2 linked regions of the Tamandua tetradactyla genome follow. The protein of the gene in region 2 interacts with the protein of the main gene of each other region in a biochemical or structural test. Links are inferred from orthologs where the notes say so. Each region holds a gene or a part of one and is shown on either strand. Other genes may lie near its edges. The genes, in order: WDR82 and SETD1A.

The links.
Region 1: the proteins of SETD1A (region 2) and WDR82 form a complex in vitro, tested with the Homo sapiens proteins (2 studies listed by BioGRID). The link is inferred for Tamandua tetradactyla from reciprocal best matches to the Homo sapiens genes SETD1A and WDR82.

What each region holds. Positions count from the first base shown.
Region 1 is NC_135341.1:33,590,071-33,601,466, reverse strand, and holds the start of WDR82 (WD repeat-containing protein 82), read right to left. Parts: upstream 4,906-11,396; 5' UTR 4,593-4,905; coding exon 4,432-4,592; coding exon of another isoform or gene 4,404-4,431; intron 137-4,403; coding exon 39-136; intron 1-38. UniProt on the Homo sapiens protein: Regulatory component of the SET1/COMPASS complex implicated in the tethering of this complex to transcriptional start sites of active genes.
Region 2 is NC_135349.1:23,546,529-23,558,432, forward strand, and holds the start of SETD1A (histone-lysine N-methyltransferase SETD1A), read right to left. Parts: upstream 5,696-11,904; 5' UTR 5,019-5,695; exon of another isoform or gene 4,980-5,018; intron 4,901-4,979; exon of another isoform or gene 4,820-4,900; intron 4,749-4,819; exon of another isoform or gene 4,563-4,748; intron 4,234-4,562; 5' UTR 4,219-4,233; coding exon 4,069-4,218; intron 3,868-4,068; coding exon 3,772-3,867; intron 2,007-3,771; coding exon 1,736-2,006; intron 637-1,735; coding exon 515-636; intron 274-514; coding exon 44-273; intron 1-43. Other genes in the region: ORAI3 (protein orai-3), read right to left, coding at 7,945-8,607. UniProt on the Homo sapiens protein: Histone methyltransferase that catalyzes methyl group transfer from S-adenosyl-L-methionine to the epsilon-amino group of 'Lys-4' of histone H3 (H3K4) via a non-processive mechanism.

The sequences.
Region 1 (11,396 bases), on a different chromosome or scaffold from region 2:
ACCACGACCTTAACTTCCTAAAAATAAGGCTTGCTTACCGTCTATTTTGTTAGAGCTGTAAACCACTGTGTTTGCTGCATGTGTGTATCTGATGAGGTCCACGCCATATTTCTTACTGTACAGGGTTCTCTTTGGTCTGAAGAGGAAATGGACAGAAAAAGAAAACCATCAAAATCCTCGTCACCAAAATATGGAACCTCCATATAAAGAGAAGCACTTGAATGATATGGCAAGGGTAAGGATTTTAAGAAAGCTGGAACACTGGAAAGAAACAGAATTTCTTCCAAAGGGGGAAAACACACTGAATCAATCAAGTGCAACAGCTGTCTAAGAAGGTTTTTGCCTTTGAACACCTAATGCTGAGGTTACGAAACAGCAGTAAATCTGGGTGGCTCAATTCACTTTTTACTGCAATGTTCAAAAGTAAGCTTTGAGAACAAGACAAATATAACTATTTGGGAAGAAAGATACCCCAAACAACATAAGTCATAATTTATAACAAAGACATATGCAGAGATATGTCAAATCAAAGAGACAAGAACTTTTTCTTAAGCTATTCACTTGGAAAGATGCACTTTCCTCAAAAAAGGCACTGATTTAGCAAAACTGAAACCAGATGCAAAACTGCTTCCCCTTTCCTAATCTAACTACTTTTGCAGAACATATGCATCCTCCCTATCCTACAGGTCCAAAGCACCTGCCAAGCCTTTTAGCAGGTAAGCCTAACCTTTCCTAGCAAACTAATCAAGGGTTCTTTTCTTTTTACTTAAAAGTAAAAGGGCACAATACCAAGCTTAGGGGTTATCAATCTATTTGAAGCACTTCTAGTGTCTTCCTCTATAGAACCTTGAAGATCAGGATGAAACTAATCTTAGCAAAATCTTTAACCAAAAACTTTCACACACACTGCTTAAGTTAGGCAACCCCACCCCACACTCAAACGACTTTGTAAAGCTAGATTTCAGTAATAGGACTCTCTATAATTTACCAAGCCAGAAAACAAGAAAGAATTTAACATAATGTTCTTCATTTAGGTCCTAGAAGGATTTCATAAATCCCATACCAATGTTTACCAAGAATTCCAATTTATGAAAAAGTTCACCTTTTCAAGGTAAAATCCTCTTGGAATTTAGAAGCTAAACAATCAGAGGACTGAGGCAGCCTTAAGAAGTCAGGCTGCACTTTCAGTTTTTGTTAATACTGAACAATTTTGTAAATAATTCTTTGCACTTTCAGTTTTTGTTAATATTAATGAGGCCAAAGCTTCCCGACATAAAATCTATTTCTAAAGAATCTTGATTCCAAATATGCCAGATTTTCCATATTCTTACATCATCCCTAAAAAAAGATGAGCTCAGGGGTGCACAGTAGCTTAGCGGTTAGAATGCCCCCCTTCTATGTGGAAGAACCAGGTTCTATTCCCAGACCATGCACTCAAAAAAAAAAAAAAGCAGATGAGCTCAAAGCCTACCGCTGAGTCTACCATCTGGGGTTCTGCTGTAGGTGAGTGAGGTGTGTGTGTGTGTGTGTGTGTGTGTCTGTGTGTATGTGTGTGCAACTCAAAGCTGACTTTGAGTCAGAGGAAAGAGAAGCCTACCCCAGAGTATTTCAGCCTGTCTACAATAATGAGGACAGAGCCTAAAGGGTGTGGCATAAGTTTTCATTTCCATTTAGATGTGGCCTATTTGTCACAAATTTATCAATAATGCTAATCTGAGATTTGTTCCTAATAACAGAATTCTGTTAATTCCCTAATATAACCCGTTTCCTAATTTGAAAGTAAGATCCTAAATGCAGCCATTTCAGGGGGCCTTTACAAAGCCCATGCACATTTTTTCACAATTTTTAAGGGTAAACTCCTAACCTCAAACTATGATTCTGGTAATCAGGTATAAGGCAATAATATAAAAGCCTTCTCTTTAAATAATTTGTACTACCTACCACAAACAATATCCTTTATATTCTTTGAAGTTGGAAAAATTACTCAATGGATGAACTCCACTGTAAACAAAGATTAAATGAACATTAAACTGGAAAATATTAAGCACAAAGAATCTGATTTTAGCCATTTTCAAACTCCCAAATTCTAACACTAGTACTACCTAATAAAGATACTATGCCTTCCCAAGAAACATTACTTTTCATCCAATGTTGATTTAACCTACACTAGTGGCAAAAATTTTCTTCACATTACCTCTTAGGATCATGAATTCCTAGAGACTAAAGAGACCTTGGAAGCAATGGTTGTCTGATATTGACTTCACCAACATTACATGGCTGGTCATAAGGCCAAACTAGAACCCAAGTTTCCTAACTACCAGGTTTCTGATGCCACAGAGTATAATGAAACAAGGCCACAATTGCTTGATGGGAGAAAATTTTCAAAAGCATGCCTATAGTACTGTATCAACACTACATTTCTTAATTTAGGTAACTGTGCTCCAGCTCTGTAAGACAAGGTCCTGGTGCTGAGGCCATCCATGGTGAAGTGTTTAAGGATAAAAGGGCCTGATAACTTCAATTTACTCTCTAATAGCCCAGGAAAAAATATGCATACAAACAAATATTTACATAGAGTGATAAAGCAAATGGAACAAATGTAACCAACTGGTAGATCAAATGGGAGGTCTCTGATCAATGTTGTAACTTTTCTTTAAGTTTGTAATTATGTAAAAATGCTAGGAGGGAATATATTGCATTGTCATAAAGTTGGCATTTTACTTTTAACAAGACAGAACTTCATGCCATTGTCATCCCTCCCAACAATTCGAAATTTTACCACATTCGGAGACCAACTAAATTCTACTACAGCCTTCATTACCTTTGAATCAGAATACACCTCCATCCTCAGGTACCAGGGAGAGGTTCTAATCTGTGTACAAGCAATTAACATTTCAGGCAAGCCAGCTTCAAATTACTTCTAGTTCCAGACTCTAGAATCCCAACCCCAACCCCAGCTTGAAACTCCCTCTTTCAAGCTGACTTCTAATGGTCAGGCCTGCACAGAAATCCATCTACTAAATGAGTAACACTGACTCAAATAACTTAGTATGGTCCAGGTAACAATTCCCTCTCCCTCAGGATCACCACCGCAGGCACTCTTCCATACACTGCAGGCAGATCCAGAACCAATTACAAAATACTTTCTCACAAGGACCAGTGGGAAAAAAATTAGGTAGACCAAAACCGCACTACTTTAAATAATCAAATTGAGAAATGAAGAAACAAGTTCCAAAAGAAAAGTTTAGGGATATCTGTTTAAAAAAGAAAGAGGCAAAAGGAACACCTGGAAAAGAGAAAAATCCAAAGATTCAAGAAATATCTGGATCCAGATAACAAAACAAGGTCTGACAAAACCAGTAACCACCGACTTAAAAGTAAGTCTGCTTGGGGAAGATGGCTGAGGGAAACTCAAAAATTTAGCTTAAGGCTCCAAAGGAGCTCACAAGTCAGTAAGATCTGGAGAAAGCCAAGGATACAGGAATGAAGCCAGGCTGAAAAGGTGCCCCAGGGAAGAATGCAAAGTGCTGTGCTTATTAAGATTTTGCAAGAGATGCAGGTGTGGTGGGTCGCCCGAGGATCTGGGGCAGCATAAAAGTTGCAAGATCAGACTAGTAATTTTGATCATTCTATGTGGACCACGAAGTGTAATCGAAAAAAAGTGGGAGAGGAAACACGAAACTGTTATACGATGCTTTCTTTGTTCTAACGGGAGGCTCACATTCAGATTGGGATGGGACGGCCAAGTTCGCTGGTGTTATGGCAAAAAGAAATAACAGGAAAGGAAGAAAAAGTTTCAGATGTTAAAAAGTTCAGTATAAGCGTGGACACCGGGTCCGAGGGAGTAACAGAATGGCTTGGAAGTGGAAGGGAAGGACCGGGGCCCAAAGAGGCACTACAAAATGAAATCCTGACAGCTAAGAAACTGCACCCACGCGGCCTTATGGTAGAAAGGCCGATGGAAGCTGAGAGGCAGAGAATGGGTGGACTACCGGGGCTGGATCGAGGTCACCGAGAAGAGGGCAGAGAGAGGTGATGCTCTAGAATAAAGCTGGAGTAGTTCTTTGAGGTTCAGTGTCTGGGCCAGAGCCAATGGGCACCATCGACAGTACCAGGGTAGCGGAAAACTCTACCTGCTGGGGGCGGGATGGGGCGTTTTAAAGGTCAAGGTCAAGGTGGGGTTCGGTAAAAGATGCAGAAGTGCTCTAAAAGGAGACCGAAAACAGACAAAATAACACTGACAACAACAATAATAATAAAGACGAAGGAAAAGGAAAGGTCTCCCGGACGGCTGCACGTTGCAGGCGCCCCTGTAAGCAGCGAGTGCAAAATAGGCCAAGAGCCGAAGTCGAGGAGGAGGGAAGGCCGCAGGGCGAGAGCCGGGCCACTGGAGGGACTCAAACCTGGGCCCAGGGCCAGCGCCGCACTCACTTGCCCTCCTGGCAGTCATAGAGCACGATGGAGTCGTCGTCGCTGCTCGAAATGACCGTCTCGCCGTTAGGGCTGAAGTCGAAGCAGTTAATCTTGTCCGAGTTCTCGCGGAACACCTTGGCGACGCGGAAGCTCCGCAGCACGCTGTCGGTCAGTTTCATGGCGGCGGCTGCTGGAGGCGGCGGCGCAGGGCTGGGGCGGGGCCCAGCGGCGAGCTGGCGGGCGGGCTGCCGAGGGGCCAACCTGGGCGGAGCGGGCGCCGCGCCTGCGACGAACGAGAGGACAGGCGACAGTCAAGCCGCCTTCTCTTTCTACTCGTGCAGTACTCTCCTGCCCGGACTGCGGGGACGTGCAGACGGTTTCTTCTCCCGGTCGCCTTAGGGCCAACCGGCGCGAGTCCTGCTCATTGTGTCCACCATCTTGGGACGACAGGCAGAAGCCGAAGGCGAGGAGCCTCTGCCGTGGTGCACGCCGGGAAAGAGGGTGGGGCGGGAAAGGCCGGGAGGCGGGGCGATGACGTCAGGGTGGCCTCCTGGGAGTGGAGCTACTGGGCGGCCTGTGGCTGCTGTGTCCCGGTGAGTTGCTGGACCAAAGGGACAGCCGAGGGATTTTGTGCCGGGCTTTGAGATATCCCGAGAAACTCGGGGGCCCCCTGCTGGCATCTTGACCGCCGACCACGAGGAAGCTGAGCACTGCTAGTGTCAGGTGCTGCCCTGGAGATCAGTTTTGGGGGTGTTTTCAGATGAGCAGATAGCGGGCGGGCCTGACTGCTCGCCCAAGACGCCGCCGCCAGCGAAGAATTTCAATTTCTTTTTTATTAATTGAGATATAAGGTAAGGTGAACTGCCCACATTTTAAGTGGATGATTTTTTTCATTTGATTATACTCTCTGACCACCACCTAGAACTTTTTCAAAGCTTTTTAAAAAAACTTTTTATTGAGTTATAATGAAAAGAGTTGAAGTGAGCTAATCTTTTTTTTTACATTTTTATTGTGAAATATAACATATATACAGAAAAGTAATAAATTTCAAGTACAGTTTAACAAGAAGAAATGAACTAATCTTAAGTGTAGCTCCATACAGTTTTATAAATGTAAAAGCTCCTATATTTAAGCTTTAAAACGTACATTCTAAAATGCATAGCGTCAGTTACAAATAAAAATTTTAAAGGAACAATTATCTCCTGAATCAACAAAATGCAGTTTTAAATTCTCCTGACTCCTTGCTCGCCTTATGCATATATACACGTAAACATAGAAGTAACCATTTTTGTCCTGCTATAGTAGTGTATCTTACTCATTTACCTGCGTTACTAAATCGGATTGTTTTGGTGTTTTTTATTGAAGTGTAATTTAGATTCAGTAAAAATTTCTCCTTTACACTGGATAGTTTTATGAATTTCGACACCCACAAAAAGTCTCCCAACCACCACCATATTAAAGATATACAACAGTTCCATTACCAGCTTTGTAGTCAATGGGATTGTTTTAAGGGCAATATTGTAAAAGGTATTTTTTGCTGTAAAAGGAAGGAAAGTTGATCTCTAGTAAAGGATCACAAAATAGGAACCATGCTTTCTGGCTTTAATTTTCTTCAAGGGATTAAACTCTGTGCAATCACTACAAGTTTGTTACTGGATAAAGGCTGTGGATTCTGTTGCCTTACGCACTCAATAATCAATTCTTGACACACCAGGTTTCAAGAGAGAGAGTTTATAACTAGGTGTGTAGTAGGAGAACAGATGGTCTAGCGGCCCGAAATCTGTCTCCCCAATTTTAGGGGGTTCAAAATTTTTAAGAATTTTAGTAAGGGGAGCTGAGGTCATTACAATTTCAAAAAAAACAGCTGAAAGGAAGGAAGGCTGAACTATCATGTCACTACTAAAGGTGTAAGCCAAAGGGAAGGGAGACAAGTTATCTTTCAATAGCAGAGTCTAACTGATACTATTTACAGATGTCAGACGCTGAAAGTAGTTAATGGCTGACTTCAAATTTTTCATTAGTCTTAGGGCTTTTTCCTTACAAGAAAATGAGCAGATAAGGGGATAACAGCTCTTACAGTCACAAAGGCACAAAATAAGGGCCTTTGCAATCATTTCAGGTATCAGGGCAGCCGAATTATAGTATAGGGATTTCAAGCATTCCTCTCTACTCCAATATTCCAGAAAGCAAAAAGGAATATCTATATAATGACTCAATAATCAAAATCATCCCTTAAGGAAAATTCAACTTCCCCAACTTTATCCTGGAGGTTATTCTTACGCATTAAATAGATAACACCTTGTTAGTCGAGATGTAATGGAGAGGCTGGAGGGAAGTGCCTGAAAATGTAGAGCTGTGTTCCAGTAGCCATGTTTCTTGAAGATGATTGTATAATGATATAGCTTTCACAATGTGACTGTGATGTGAAAACCTTGTGTCTGATGCTCCTTTTATCTACCTTATCAACAGATGAGTAAAACATATGGAATAAAAATAAATAATAGAGGGAACAAATGTTAAAATAAATTTAGATTGAAATGTTTGTGATCAATGAAAGGGAGTGGTAAGGGGTATGGTATGTATGAATTTTTTCTGTTGTCTTTTTATTTCTTTTTCTGAATTGATGTAAATGTTCTAAGAAATGATCATGATGATGAATATGCAACTATGTGCTGATATTGTGAATCACTGATTATATATGTAGAACGGAATGATCATAAATTAAGAATGTGTTTTTTTGTATTTTTTTAATTTAAAAATTAATTTTAAAAAACTGAAAAAAATCATCCCTTAAATCCTAATTTCTCGATTACAGATTCTAGGATCTCTAACTCTTGTTGCTTCACAAATAGTTAATTGGACAATGGTAGTGGATCCTATTTATTTTGCTTTAGTAAACTTGCAGTGATTAAACAGGAAGAGAAACAAAGAAGGAAGACTGTTGAGTCCTTTTAGTCGCTGACATCAGGAAGATTTGATATCCAGAGACCCAGATGTAACCCGGACAACAGTAAAAACAACAGAAAGCCTGAGACAGTTGGGCCCTTTCTGGAAAGAACTAGGGTCTCATCTCCTGGGTAAAAGAGGAGCCAGGATTTTTACTTAGGAGAAATCTTTTTTTGAGGGGAGAGGGTAAGATCCTGCCTAGGTCTGGGCTGCAATTGCCTCCTGACAAAGAGCAGAGAGCTTCTGGTTACAATTTGCTCTGGGGTCAGGAAAAAGCCTGTTTGAAGGAAACCTGAATGGATGGCAACTTTCCAAACTGCAAAGCAATGGGAGAAAAGCTCTCGGTGCCCCAGAGCACTCGCTCACTCACTTCACTGCAAAATCCTGCATCTTTATCTACAGGCTAGAAAGGCTGATATAGAGCCTTCTTTGAATCCTTAGATAGCAATAAGACAGATTTGGTGCCACGTCCAGGAACTGTTGGTAAGTAATATACTCAGTAAGATGCCATATTTTGGCTCATGTTAACCTACAAAGAATATAGCCACAAAAACAGCCGAAACCTACTCAATGTTCTCAGCCAAAATAAATCTTTGCAGCATATCTTTCAAGTTTGTATTCACTGTACCTTTTCCAGATTTCACTGTTAAGACCAAAGCTGTCTCCTAAGATTTGGCATCCTGCATTATTTTTGGAATGCAAAAAGTCATTTTTTCATATTTTATGAGTGTTCTGCTATGGGTCACAGCCTGGAGACTAATTCAGATACTATTTCATATTCGTAGCCCAGCTCCCTGCCTACTATAGCCCAGCTGTTCCAGACTTCCAGTCCACCAACATTGCTGCCTGAAAGGCTGGACTTTAAAAAGTGACCCAGAAAAGCTGGCTCCAGTGGAGGATGTTCAGAGGGGGAAGCTGCAGCCAGAAGTAAATCAGAATGTCTCAAAGAGTATCAGACTTAATTTTTACTTTTCCTTTTTTTTTTAAAGCATTGTTTCATTCATTTACTGTTTTCATGCAAGTAAATGCATATGAATTGAAGAAAAACTTAAAAATGCAAGTAAGTAATAATAATAATAAAAACATCTAGAGATGGCCACTGTAACATTTTGATGTAGAACTTTTTCTCCTGAAATCTATTCTTAATGGGTTCTTAATATGATATTAGTTATAATCTACTCTTTCATAGGAACATCTTCCAGGACAGTAAATATAGAGTTACACTATATATGGCTATATAGTATTCCAGCATGTGGTTGTAAAGTAATTTTGCTTCCCATTTTATTTAGAGCCCAGCCAGGGTCTGGTTCAATATATATTGTTAATTGAATAAGTGAATTTAGGATTCCAGATATATTATTGGCCCATTTATTACATTTCTGCTTTTCATATTACCGAGTTTAATTGGAGCCAGTCCTAAGAAATTTATCTTCTCTCCAGAACAGAGAGTTCCTTATGAATACCAATTCTTGGAGATAGATTTCTGACTTGGAATGCCCCGTGGGGTACCCCTGGAGCTTGATTAACCTCTTATAAAAGCCCTCAGACCTACCAGTCAGGTCTCTCAGGTGACCATCTTCATTAGGAAAGCTTCTTTAGGAGCATCCACTTGAAATTAAATTGCCAAAAAGGAAAGGGGTATGTTGGAATACAGTTGCAGCCCACAGTAATTTTGTATAGCATGTTTCAGTTGTCACACATAGCTTACACATAAATACTCCTTACCTGAAAAATTGCTCGATTTGCTAAATGAATGCTTCATTTCACTCTCCACCAAGAGGAAATAAATGTACTGTGATGGCCATGAATGGAGATAATATTTTACATCAAATGGAAATTACAAACTTCTTCTTTGGCGTTAAAGTCAACCCAGCAATGGCTTAATTAACTTAAACATATTTTCTGTTGGCTTCTTGCTCCCAGTTCCAACCCAGCTCTTGGAGGGCTTGGATCAGGGCAGCCCAAAGATTAAAGGACACTTCTGACATGGAATTAGGCATGAGTTTGTTAGGATTTACGGGCAGGAGAAGATCTTCCATGGTGGCAGCTGGCCATGGAAAATTGAAGGTTAGCACTCCGCAAAGTGGGCGAGGGGAGTGCAAGGGCTTCTAAGAGTTTAGGACAAGGGTATGAGAATAGAGTTTCAGCAAGGCCTAGTGACACAGGGGTCTGGAGGTTTGTTATCAACAGTGATCAAAGGAGGGGAGTTTAAATGCTTTGTTTATGATACCATCTGTACATTCTCCCCCCCTCTCCCCACCGCCAGGAGGTTTGATGGCCTTTAATATCTATACCAGTCATGTAGGCTGCTACGTACCTCTTAATATTAAGGGGAATCCCAGGCCCTGGATCCCCACACCCCTCAACCCCATGATCAAATTAATATATGTTTTAAAGCATTTTAAAAGATTTAAAAAAAAATTTACTTTTAAATAACACACAGGGAAGTTGCAAAAATAACGGAAAATTCTAATATATCCCCCACCCAGTTGCCCAGATTTACCAACTTTTAACATTTTGCCACATTTGTTATACTATTCTATCTATGTGTCTATCTATTTTCTAAATGTTTGAGAGTAGGTTGTGAGGCAGGCTAAAACAGTAAGAGAGGGGAGAGAAAAAAAAACATGAAGGAGCCCTTAATCAAGGTCAGGAGGGCCTATGTCCTGCACAGACAGTCTGCCTGGGGCTACCACTTATGGGAGACACAGCAGCAGCTGACCCATCTGAAGCCAAAGGACCCCAACCTGCCATCTATGGAGAGGGCTAGAGCCCACCGATTTGTAACTGAGAAATTAGGATTGAAGGGATGATTTCGATTACTGAATCGTTATATAAATATTCCTTTTTTGCCTTGTGGTATATTGGAACAGACGTAGGGAAATACCTGAAATCTCTAAATTATAATCCAGCTGCCTTGATACCTGATAATGATTTTATAGCCTTTATCTTCTGTCCCTGTGATTGTAAAAACCTTGCGACTAACCTTCATTTGTACACATTTATCCAGTTTTTTAACTTTAGAGTCTTGCAATCACTAAAGACAGCCCCAACTGTTTATTAATGAAGGGTCTTGGGTCAGCCCAGAACTAACCCACCCAAGTCCGAAGTTATCTTGATGACCGAGACTGGGTCTAACCAAAGTGGGCCCACCTGACATGTGCAGTAGCTTAGACGTTAACCTACAAGTCACCTGTACCTCATTATAAAAATCACACCCTTCATCATATTAAGGCCACCATTTTCTTATATACATTCTTCTAAGCATGTAATCAATCTGCACATACTCAATAATTAGATCACCTGTAATTACATCATCTGGGGACACTGTGCTCATTATCCTAAACTCTGCCCATCCTTTTCTCTACTAAAACTATGAGAATTACTGCAGTTCTGGGAGACAGATTTTGGGCTAATAGACCATATGCTCTCCTACTACCTGCCTATTACTAAACGCATTCTCTCTTTGAAACCTTGGTGTCTCAGGAATTGATCATTGAGCAGATTGGGCAAAAAATCCACCGCTTTTGTCCAGTAACAGACCCACCAAATACACTACCACCAGGCACCACCCTGGAGAGAAGGGAGGGTAGAAGAAAAAGCCCTGAATTAGGAAGGGGTAGGAGGAATAAGTAAAGCTAATCTACAAATGGCCCCACATTACCTGTTGTCTTTTCCCTTTATCTTGTGAGAGTGCCCACATGAGCTTTCTGCATGTGTACTCAATACGTTTTCTGCCTTCTTGCTCTATCTGTGTTGTGCCCTTGAATTATTTTCTCTTGGCATGGCCAAGAAACTGGAAGCTGAAATTCGGCAGCAGGTTGCATATATCATGCTCCTTTACCACTTTAATATTCCCATGCTTATTTCCTATGAACAAAGATATTCAGTTAAGTAACTATATTGAGTACAGCATCAAGTTCACGAACTTTAATATTCAATTCATATTAAGTATTCCATTTTTTTCAGTTGTCCCAATAATCTCCTTTTGGACATTTTCCCCTCCATTATTAGATCCAGTCCAGGAACATTACAAT
Region 2 (11,904 bases):
AGGATTTGATGATTAGGGGCCCCAGATGGCATCTGCTCTGTACCTGCTGGAATAGGCAGAATCCTGAGAGTAGGGGGTGCTGCCCCGAGACGTGTAGGGAGTTCCTTGGGAGGACTGAGGGGTGAACTGGCCAAAGGAAGACGGGGTGTCTTGTCGGCCGCTAGAGAAGCTTGTGTCCTGGGAGCAGGGGGTGCCATTGCCAGGGGTGCCCACCACAGCACTGCCTGCTGGGTAGGCCGCTGTGTCAGAGGAGGATCGGCGGCGGGATTCAGTCTGGAGGGTGGGAGTGAGGCAGAGAGAAAGTAAAACAGATCAAGTACCATTAGAGAACTCTCCCACTCCAAACCAAGAATTCTATTTCCTTGTCTTTTGAAAGCTTCCAGACACTTTTTCTAACTCTTCCGGCACTTAACAGGAAAGCTGAGAACCTCCCAAAGGCTGCTCTTGCTCCTGCTCCTGGCACCCAGGTGCCATGCCCACACCGCCAGGGCTGTGGTAGCCCCAAACTCCTCACCGTCTCAGGGGTTGCACTACAGCCCTGGAACTTCTCGCTCAGGGCCTTGCCCCCAGTGGGCACTGTCTGGGGGGTGTAGGAGCCATTGACAATCAGTTCATAGTACTTCATTCGCTGCTGTCCTGGAGGAAGAGAAATGGGAACCAACAGGGTCAGACAGACAACACAGCTTCTTCCTAATCTGATATTTCTCCTTCTCTGTCGGGCTTTGCGTTTCCTACGATTTCTTGGAGTCTTAGATTTGGAGATTTAGTTCTTCTATCTTATCTCTATCTTTGGGATCTTATAGCCTGTCCCTAATAACATATGGTATACGTTTATACCATAAACACACTGTATAACACTTCAGATTACAAAAACATCTTTACTTATATTACTATACTTGATGACCACAAGGAAGAAAATCATTGGTGTCCCTATTTTAGAGGAATAAAGGAAACTAACCTGCACAAAGTCACAAATCTATTTAGTGGCAGAACCGGAATTCAAACCCAGGCCTTCTGATGCTAACTCTCACCATGCTCTTTTTCCTATAAAAGACGCAAAATGGCTGCCTGACGGCTAAAAGCAGCCCACAGTGGTATTTTACTTGCAATGACTTCAAAAATTCTGGAGGGAACCAGTATTTAAAACCATGAAATTTCACACAAAAATCTGTATTTCTGGCTTCTTTTTTAAAATTAGATTACTTGGCAACATTAGTCCTCATTGTAAATTGTTGCCTAAAGAAGCTGTCTCTTTAGATGGGACTAAATTTACATACAGTTCACCATAGTCCCTACTTCTCCCTATTGCTCCTTATCACAGAAGCCCCAGATGAAGACAGATCCTTAATTCTGTATCCAAAAGTTCAAAAACCAAAAACCTGGTATTTTTTTGGAATTTGATTTCAAAACCTGACCTGAGCTGAGGCTACTTACTATTTATTACTTCTACTAGTCTTCTATCTAGTGTGACGCTTTATACATATTCTTACAGATAGAGTCAAGTACTTGGCCATGGATGCTGCCCCAGACCCTGCTGGAAATAACAGGCAAAAGACCACATACATACCACACCCCTTACCAAAACTGGAAAAATACCCATTTCTGAAAGACATCTGGCCTCAAGAGTTTCTGATAAGAAATTGTGAACGTGATCATTTGCCTGGCCCCCAAAGGTATCTGAGTATACCACCTCTGCTGGAGACTAACTTTAGACAGGGGGCAAAGGAGTCCTTACCTTTGATGTCAAGCTGGGCATGGATGATGTTGCCCATAACAGATGTAAGGTGGAGGTTTTTGACTGTTTCCTTGGCTCCCCGAGTGCTGGTGAAGAGCACACGGGCCAGGCCCAGGTGCTTGCGAGTACGTGGGTGAAGAAGGATCTCCACCTCTTCCACCTCACCATACTTTCGGCACATATCCTTCAGGAATGTCTCCCGCACGTTGTCATTCAGTCTCGCGAAGGTCACTTCCTTCAGTGGGATCTGTCCGATATAGAACTCATCCAGCTGTGGAGAGGAAGGGAGTTGGCCTGGAGTTTCAAAACTTGTTCTTTTGCCCTAGAGGGAACTTTAGATCCACAAGGTCAATAGAAATGGGACTGAGAAACTGAGGGCCCTGGGAGAAATATCATAAAGAGAGCCACAGCTAAAGGATACACAGAATAATGGCAAGAACCAAGAAAAGAAACGTGCAAACGAAGAAAAAACATACGTGGAAGGAGCAAGTCATAGGGAAATAATTCATTTGCTCATATTTTACTAAGTGACTTCCAAGGCCTGGGCACTAGGAATATGAAAATGGAGAAACAGTGACTCCTGTTCAGAAGAGTGGATAAAACAGATAGATGCAGACAATGACAATGTGACGCGACAAGTGCGAGCAGAGGTGCGGACAAGTGCATTTGGGAGCCAAGAGAAGGAAACCTTTGTTTGGAATGGAGTCAGGGAAGGATTCATAAAAATGGTGCCATTTGTATGGAGTTTTTCAAATAAACAGAAGCTTACCAAGATGACAAGAATTTCTAGGACATGGAGCCATAAGACAACTTGGCATTTTCTGGAAATTACAAAGTGTCTGGTATAGGTGGAACACAGGAGCATGGTGTTAAGACAGGCGCTGAACTGGAGCCAGATCAATAATCATAGACATCAGTGCTCAAAAATGGAGACTGAGCAACAAAGGGAAAGTAAGAGAACAGGAAAATCAAAGCAATAAGTGACAGTAGTGTGGAGTGTGAACTGGAGGTGAGAATGGAGTTAAGGAAACCAAGTGAAATAAATACAAGGATTTGCATTAAGGAAACAGCAACAGGAGAGTTGAAGATGGAAAGGACACATGTCAAGGCATGGGGACAGATTCTTGGCGAGGACACCCTATAGAGGACAGGAGAGTCATAGGATGCCTCCTGGTTTCTAGCTCATGCACCTGAGTGGAAGCTGTGGCCATTCATCAGTAGAGGGAAAACAGAAGGAAGGACTGAAGTGTTAAAGATCATTTGTTATAAACCTCTTGAATTTGAGGTACCTGTGGGATCTCCAGATGGAACTGTCCCTGTAACAGGCATGTAGCCTGGAGTTCAAGAGAATGATCTTGGCTGGAAACAGATTTTGAAGTCACCCACATTTAGGTAACAGTCAAAGCTGTGGGTATGTAAGAGACTGTCCAGGGCAAGTATACAAATTAGAAAAAAAAGAGGGGGGGGGTGAGAGAGCCCCAGAACAATTTATTTAAGAAGGAAGAATAAAGAATTAATGAGGAAAACTAAAGAACCAGTTTGCTAGGCCCATTTCAAGGCCTGATGAGTATCCCACTAGACAGGGAAATGGGAGTCCTCTAGTCCTCTTGAGCTAAGAAGAAAGAAGATCACCAAAGGAGAGGTGAAATACAGAACTCCAGGGAAGCAAGGTCCTTGTCACACACACACACACACACCCCGTTGAGGAACTGGGATACCTAAACAGAGCACTGTCATGCCATGCACCGTCTAGTAATGAGAATAGCAGTTCAGCCTGTCTTTACCTCATCCTTCAAGAAGTGAACATTGCTGCCACCAAGGATATACATGGGAAGCCTCACCTACACCTTTCTAGAAGATACGCATCCCTCTTGTCCATAGCAACTTAGTCTCAGAGCCTCAGAGGTGGTCAGAGCTGGTTGTGCACCTTTCATCAGAAAATCCCTTCCCATTAGGCTACTTTATGACCAGACTGTCAGGATGGAACCTCCACATCCTCCAAGGACTACCACACCAGTAGACTAGCAGGCACATACCTTAAATTTAGGGACAGGGAGGGAAAAGTCTCTGTTTTTGGACCTGACGTGGCAACGGGGATCTTGGAGATCTTCAACTGGTATATACTTTGAGTCCTAGGAAGGAAAGCAGGAAAAGACAGCTTAACATGAAACTAGATTGCTGAGCTCTAGGAAGCTCATCTGGAGACATATATGCACTGCCCATTTTTTTCAGAAGGCAGGCTATGGCTCCAGGAGTTCTAGATGCTGGACAGAGGTAACAGAGAGCCAGGGCCTGGAGTTTCCTACATGGAAAGGAAAGGCCTAAGCACTCACGTTGACACTGAAGTGGACTCCATCATAGCGATACACCTTTTGAGAAGGCCTGCGCAAGGCAGGGTCCAAGGCAGGATCCACGATGAGCTTGTAGTTCCGCCACTGGAAGCTCGGGGCCTTCTGCCCATCTCCCCCACCTTCCTGATCCATCTTTGCTCATTTACACTGTTAGTAAAGAAAAATACGCAAAGGGGTTCAGGACTTAGGCCTGACTGTCTTGCAGCCCCTTACCGACTAGCTCAGACTCCAGGTTCTCATTAGCCCTGTTTCCACACCTCACCAACACTCGTGGCTCTCCCAGATTTACCCTCAGGTACCCACTGTTTCACCACAACACCCCATTCTCTCCCCACCTCCCAACTCTCCCCTCGGGCCCCCAGGGCCATCTCGCGCCCCCTTACCTTCCCGCTCTCCCTAGCGCGCGCCCCACTTGGCCTCGGAGCAAGACCCCTCCCCCGCCCCCTAGTAGGCCCCGCCCCCTCCCGCCTCCTCACCGGCCAGCGGCCCGGGCCAAGCCCGGCTCCCGCTCCCACACACCCGCTCTCGTCCCCGCGCCCCGATCCTCTGGCGGAGAGGTGGCACCTCTTCGGGGCGTTGGAAACACCGCGAGACCGAGCCCGAGACCCGGCTTCGGCCCCGAATCCGGGCAGGGGGGTGGGGGGAGCGCGCGCCGCTGCCCTCTTCTCCCGCCCCGGCGCGCTCTGCCCCCCCACCCCCGGACTCCGCGCACGCGCGCCGCGGCCCCACTCACCCGCTCGTGGCGAGCGGCTCCCCCTCCCCCCACCCCGCGCAGCACCTTAGCGGCGCGAGGCGGCGGCGGCAGCGCGAGACCCGGCCCCGCAGCGGTGGCGGCGGCGGCGCCCCCCCACCACCACCACCTCCCCGGCGCGCGCACCAAACACCACCGCCACCTGCACGAGGCCCAGCGGGCACAGGGTCTGCATTTGCACTTTCGCCACGGCTGCCGCCGGGAGACCCACGGGGCCGAGGGTAGCGGCCTCGTCTCGGCCGGCACCCTGTAAGGCTCGGGAGTTGCGGCCCAGGGAGCCTGGAGATCGGCCGCATTCCCCGGAGAGTGGGCTTCACCACCACTATCTAGCTGCTTCGGCCTGCGTCCCTTGACGAATCGGCGGCGACGAAAGCTGCGACTAGTCCCTGAGGAAAAGGGGGCGGGGCGGAGGGGGAAGAAGCCAGCCAGAGCTGGGGAGGTTTGAGTGGCGCGTTGAACAGACGCAGATTCGTCAGGCGGGCGGGGCAAATCGGTGGACAGGATGAGCGCTCCTTTGCTCCTCTTCCTTGCCCCTTTCTCTCGCGGCGAATGGGCTAAGGGCCCGCAGATTCGCCACGGATCCTGGCTTCAGCTGTCACCTCCCTTCGCCCTCCTTGGCGGAGTCATGAAAATAACGCCGGTTAGCCCACCCTGTTGGCACGTCTGTCACTTTTTCTGGATCTTTCTTACTAGGACAACTCAGAGGGCAGTCCACTTTCGACTCAGAAGGGAACAGTTTCGGCCCAGCGCTCCTCTTGGAGTCCGATGAAAATTTTCAGCCGAGCATACAGGGCCGGAGCAATGTTGAGGAGCGGACCTAGCGAATCTGCTGCTCCCACTGTGGGCGGAGCCAAGGCGCCGCGCACGGAGGGGTGTGGCCAGAGCTTGCGGAGCCCGGTGCTTCAGGGGTGCTTCCTGTTGGACCCACCAAAACCGGGGCGGGCTGGGAGGGGCGTCTGGGAGGTGGAAAAATACAACCAAGCTGTGGTGACTCAGGCCGTTTGCCTGGCGGCGCACAGAATGCAGGGAGTGTTTTTCTCCCGTTATGTCTCTGGGACCTCTAGTTGTCTAGGAACCCCGTTTGACAGATGGGGAGACTGAGGCCTGCAGAGAGACCGCATTTTGCCACGGGTCAGCCCCACTGTTAGTGGTCAAATCCGAGGCTGCCTCAAAAGGGTCTCTGAAAAAGCTTGTTCGGGCTGAACATCTTTAAACGTGTCCTTTACAAAAATACTGGAATAGATCCTACAGGAACTGGGATGGACTAACCTATTCTCCAGGCGTCATGATCTGAGTGCCCGTCTCTTCAGTCGGCACTGAAGTGAGTCTGCTGCTCACACAGTTCGGCCGCTCGAGGGCAGCACCAGCCCAGGTCTACATCGGGGAAACGGGCTAGGGTTGCCCAGTGTCGGGACCCCCCCCCCTTTTCTCTCTTGAACCCAGGCACTCTCGTGTCTGAGAACCGGGACTCCCACGAGACCCCTCTGCCTGAGCTTAGGTCGCCCTGAGGTCCAGCCATGTCTACATCGCTCCCTGGTTTTATGACCTTGGGTAAGTCATTGACCTCTCTAAGCTTCAGTCTTCTAAAAATGGATGTTCATTCCTGTCACACAGGACTAGGGTAGGCATCAGAACAGTGCTTGAAAAGACCTTGGAGCCTGGTTCATGCAGTTTTACCACTTTAACTAAGAGGACAAGGGAATTTGTCTAAGGCCATGCACCACAAGAGTAGAAGAGAGAGGATTGGGGCCCTTTAAATTCTTTAGGAAAATAAGGCTGAAAAAATTATTTTAATGGAGGCACAGTTGAAAGGGCCTGGCTGCTTTTTTCAAGTCAAAGAGATTTCCCAAGGGATGGTAAAGGCGAGTCAATTCAATTTGGGCAAGATGCCGAGCCTTCCTGGGACTCATTTTCCTTATCTCTGAAATGGCGATGATTGTAGACTCCTCTCTTGAGGTGGTTGTAAGGGTTTAAATGAGATAACCTGTGGAAATCCTCTAGCTTGTAGTAGTCACTTAAGTAACTTATTCTAAATCCTCAATGTGAGAGGTGGACACCTTCAGCTCATAGGAATGAGAGTTCCTTGGCCTTTGGAATAAATTGGTTTCCACATTCATAAGCTGCTGGCCCCTTCCAGCACCAGATGAGGTCACTCCTGGCACTGACCCCACCCCTGGGTACCCTAGCCTCCACCTGGTTCTCATGAACAAGTCATCCAATTCCAACAGGTCTCCCCTTCACCCCATTCACAGCTACAGGGACATCTGTGAAACACAATTTATTATATAAAACAAGGTGCGTCAAAAATTCAGTGTCAGTAGCTTTGCATTCCAAAGGATAGGAACTGGACCTTTTCCTTTATAACCTGACATCCTTCCTCCTCACCCCAATCCTCGATAGGGAGTCAGACCAGGCACAAAGACCCTTGGTCTCCAAAGACCCCCTAGTCCTAACCCAGGAGAGTGAGAACCAGATGTGGAAGCACAAGTACATACCTAGGGGAGTGGGGCAGGCCCTGACCCTTTTGTATGTGGCCATGGGCCCCCACAGTGGGGTGGGGGTGGGGGCTTAGACTTCCAGAATTAGAGAGGCTCCTCCTGGAGTAGAAACACTCAAATCCCTCTGCAGCAACTAAAGCAAGAGTGTGGAACTCATCAAAATCGGGATAGGAAAAAGCTTCTCCAAAAATGCCAACCATAAGGTAGATTCCACAAAAACAAAGCAAGAGTTGTCTCCCTTCTGAGACAGCTGGGTGGGTATATAACCTTCTGACCTCCCCACCTTGCACAGGGGTAAGTAGCTAAGGGTCAGCACCAAGGTTCCAACCAGGGTCTCCCTGCCTCCCTTCTACTTCCTGCATGAGCCTCAGAGACTGAGACCCTTCTACTTCCTCCCATGACCAGCCCAAGTGTCACATATAACCTACGATACCTGTGTATGACAGACTAAGAGCAAAAATCTCTGGGAATGTGGGAGTTGCCCTAAGGCCCAGTCCAAAGGACTCCTAAGACAGAATCTGGTCTCTACCTGAGAGTGGCCACAGGAAGTGGCTACAGCCAGGGTGGGAATGAGAGAGGCAGTGCTTACAGCCCTGGCTAACATCAGCCTCACACAGCCTGCAGCTCCCCCTGCAGGCGGCTCAGCTCCTCTAGCTCCTGTTTGTGGCGATCTGTCTTGTGTGCCACCAAGGAGCGGTAGAAATGCAGGGCAAAGGCCACGAACACCAGCCCCACAGGTACCATGATGGCCGTGGAGGCCATGGCTGCTTGCCAGCCTGGCCCGTGGGCCCCAAGAGTACCACACACTTGCCTGGGTAGGCAGGGCTCAGGGGGCCCAGCCTGTGATGGAGCTACAGAAGGGGATGGTGGGAGCTTGGAAGTTGGCCTAAGGGAGGTGGCCATTGGTGACAGAGTCCCAGACACCTGGGAAACAGGTACCACAGGGGCTGCAGTGCCCACAGGGGCTCCAATAGGCACAAACTTGACCCAGCCGACCAGGACAACCTCAGCGAGGAAGAGGAAGGTGCCCAAGGCAGTGGAAAAACCCCAGGCCAGTTCCACATAGCGGTGGAGTCGCTGGTGTGGCGACTGGTGGACGGAGTTGAGGTTGTGGATGTTGCTGACGGCCTCTATGTGGGGCAGCAGACATGTGGAGACCATGAGTGCAAAGAGGTGGACAGCCACCAAGACGGTGGTACAGGCGCTGAAGGCCACCAGCAGGCCTGGTGGATATTCGTGATCGCTTTCCAGCTGTACCTCCACCATGGCCACCTGTGGGACAAGAGGAGCTAGTTTGAGTGTTCATGACTTCTTCCACAGAAGAGAATTCTTTGTCTGTTTTATTCATCATTGTGTCCCTATAACCTAGAAGAGTGCCTGGCATACAAAACAGGGACCTAATCTTTCTGAATGAATGAATGGCAGCCTTGGCAAGGTTCTGTCCTGTCCTGGGCTCAGTTTCTGTACCCTCCTCCACCCTGGCTATTGAGAGGGCTGGATGGTCTGTTTCTAACTTGGTATAACTTTGGGGTTAAGGAGCACAGATTCCAGAGTTGGGCCACCTAGTTACCAATATCAGTTGTGTAATTCTGAGCAAGTGACTTAGTTCTTTCTGTGCCTCATTTTTCTCAAATGGAAAATGGGGATTAAATAATAGTACCAACCTGCTGCATCAGGTTCTTGTGAAAATCAGAGATAATACACAGTGCTAAGAATAGGGTGAGCATACAGCAGTTGCTTTGTATTTGCTATTATCAGACTCATCAGTCTGATAGTCCTCAGCCCAAGGTTGCAAACTGGCACTCTTTGAGCCAAAGCCAGACTGCAGACATGTTTTGCTTAGTTCACACGGCATGTTTTTTTAAAAGAATTCAATTAATTGCCAACTTGTAAAACTCAAGAGATTCCATATAAATATCCCTATTTCCAGATCCTTTTGAAAATTTGGAAGATCTGGCCATACCAAATCCACCTTGCTACAAGGCAATTATCTGCAGGAGCTGAGTCATGGCTGCTCCCCTTGGGCAAGTCATGGGGTCCCTGGATTGCCACAGTCCTCCCACCCCCACCCCCAGCCAACCTGGCATCCAGGTTACCTACCCGGCCTTTGTAAACATTAGAGCTGATGACCCTATTCTAGACTTTTATAAATTTGAACTTCCTGTGGGACCTTGGGCAGATGTCTTAATATCTCTGATCTTCAGTTTTCTCCTCTGCAAGATGGCCACAATGTACCTACTTCAAAAGGTAATAGAAGGATGATGCCTATAAAAGCCCTGTGACCAGTATCTGGTACTTAATGACTATTCAATACAATTTCATTTTAACTCAGGCTAACTGGATTACAGGATCTGGTTCTTTCTCCATTCCTGGTTCTTGTAGGGTCCATTAGACTGCTCTGGGGCTGGGGGAAGGTGTAGTAAGAAGACAGGGCTGAATATTTTGGGAAATTGGGCCATAGCAGGTATCAACAGGTATTTTCCACAAATGGGATCTGGGCCAGGTCTAGTTCTGGTTTCTCCCAGGGCCTGGCCCAGCCTTGCTCTCCCCTGCCAGGACTGGGGCCAGTTCTACTCCCAGAACCTACACATCTGGCTTCTTCTTGATTCTGCAAAGAAGGCCATGCCCCTTAAGCTGTCACCCCAGTAACCTGCAAATCCAGTAGCAGGCCAGATTGTCCCCTTGGGAACTGGCTGGACCATCAGGCTGGTGGTGGGAGGGACCTCCCCCAGTGAGGTCCATATATGGGTAAATGGAGGGGAGTCAACTCTGTCCCCAGATGAACCCCCCCACCCTACCCCGTCAGGAAGGGTAGGCTGGCCTGTGGATCCTGAGCTCCTACACAGAAAACCATAGACCGAGGATGACCTTTGGGAAAGAGATTTCTGTTATTGTTCAAATACAGAAGCTGTGACACAGAGAAGGGCAGGGATGAAGCCAAATCACTTAGTGCCATGACACCCACCTTGTCTGATTCTATCCCCATCTCCATATCTCCCCTTCCCCTGCTAAAGCACCTTCCCAAGAGGTCCACCCCTTCCATCCCACGTCTCTCCCTGTCATAATGGTGGAGACCCTGGGTCCTAGTTCACTGCTAGTGCCCTTGGCAGAACCCTTGCCCCACTCGGGGCCTGTCCAATGAACTGAGGTTAGTTTGAGCCATCTCTGGCATGTGTCCTGCTCTGATCTGCTCAGATCTAGGGCTCCTGGTAAGAAGAATCACAGCTCATCCCCAGGTTGGTACTTGGCAGGCTATGTTGGCCACACCTGCCATGATCTCACTAGATTTCCCACTGGTCTTTGAGGGAGTGGAGGCTTGTTCAGGTCACACAGCTGGCCACAGGCAGGGGGAAGGCAGGACCTCAGTTTGCAGTTTGCTGGTTCCTCGCCCTGGGACCTCCCTCTGCCCCACTTCCTGTGGGTCCAGGCTGGACCGTTAGCTTTTAGCATCCACCCACACCTGAAGTATATCAGCTCGGGAATCATTTATCAGCTTCCTTAATCAGCTTCCTTCCCCAGCGGCTTCCTCAAGGCTTGTCCCTTCTCGAAGCTTTCCTGAGACATGTTCAGCATCCTTTGTGCCTGCTGGGCAGTAGCCCTTCTCCCTGGACTGGGCCCATCTCTCGTGGGTGACCCCTCCATCCAGTTTATTCTCCCCCACCCCCAGCCCTGTGCATAGCCCAGAAACTCTAATTGTTCCGGCCCCTAGGAATCTGGGTAACTACCGCTGCCAGCAGGTTCTCAAGAACCTCTTTGCCCTACTGCTGCATATTCATCCCCCTTGGTGATCTGCCTATGCTCCCGGCAGCCTGTTGACACACACAAACCCAGCCACCCATGAAAAGGCACTTGTGTGGCCCCTGGGACCTTTTGCCCCCCCCTCCCCCTTTAAAGCCTGCTTTACCTTTCCTCTAACCTGTCCCCCACGGGGACCGATTACTTTACCCACGACCCTGTGCCCTCCCCTTATGTGCTTCACCTCAACCCCTTCCTGCCCCTCACCATAGCGAAGCCCGAGAGCAGGGCAGACGTGCGGCTGGAGGCTTTGAGCTTGGCCCGGCTGAGGTAGAGACGGCGCCAGCTGAGCGCCCGCAACGAGTGCTGACTGGCCCCCATGAGGTCCAAGTAGCCGCGGTGCACGAACTCTCGGTACGTGGCCGAGCCCGCGGGGCTCTCGGCCTCGGGGTTCAGCGGGGCCTGTTCGCCCGCGTCCCCCTCGCCGCCCTTCATCCTGGGGGCGGCCACACCAGGTAGGCCAAGCGGTCACGAGGCGTCTCGGGGGCCCCCGGAGGGCCGGCCCGAACCCGAGGGAGGCCCCATCCCCGGGCGGGGCGAGTGGGGATGCGGACGGCGGGCGCCCAGGAAGAAGCGGCGGCGGGGAACCTCAAGGGCCGAAGCAGGACAGCGGAGGCCGAAACAGGAACTGGGGCGGAGGCGGAGCCGCGGCGGCCACATGATGGGGTGGAGTCAGGGGGCCTAGTGAGCCCCTCCAGTCCCGGGCCAGTTAGGAGATACCATGAGGGGCCTCGGTACCCCAGTCCACTTAAAATGTCACCCAGGGGCCGGAAT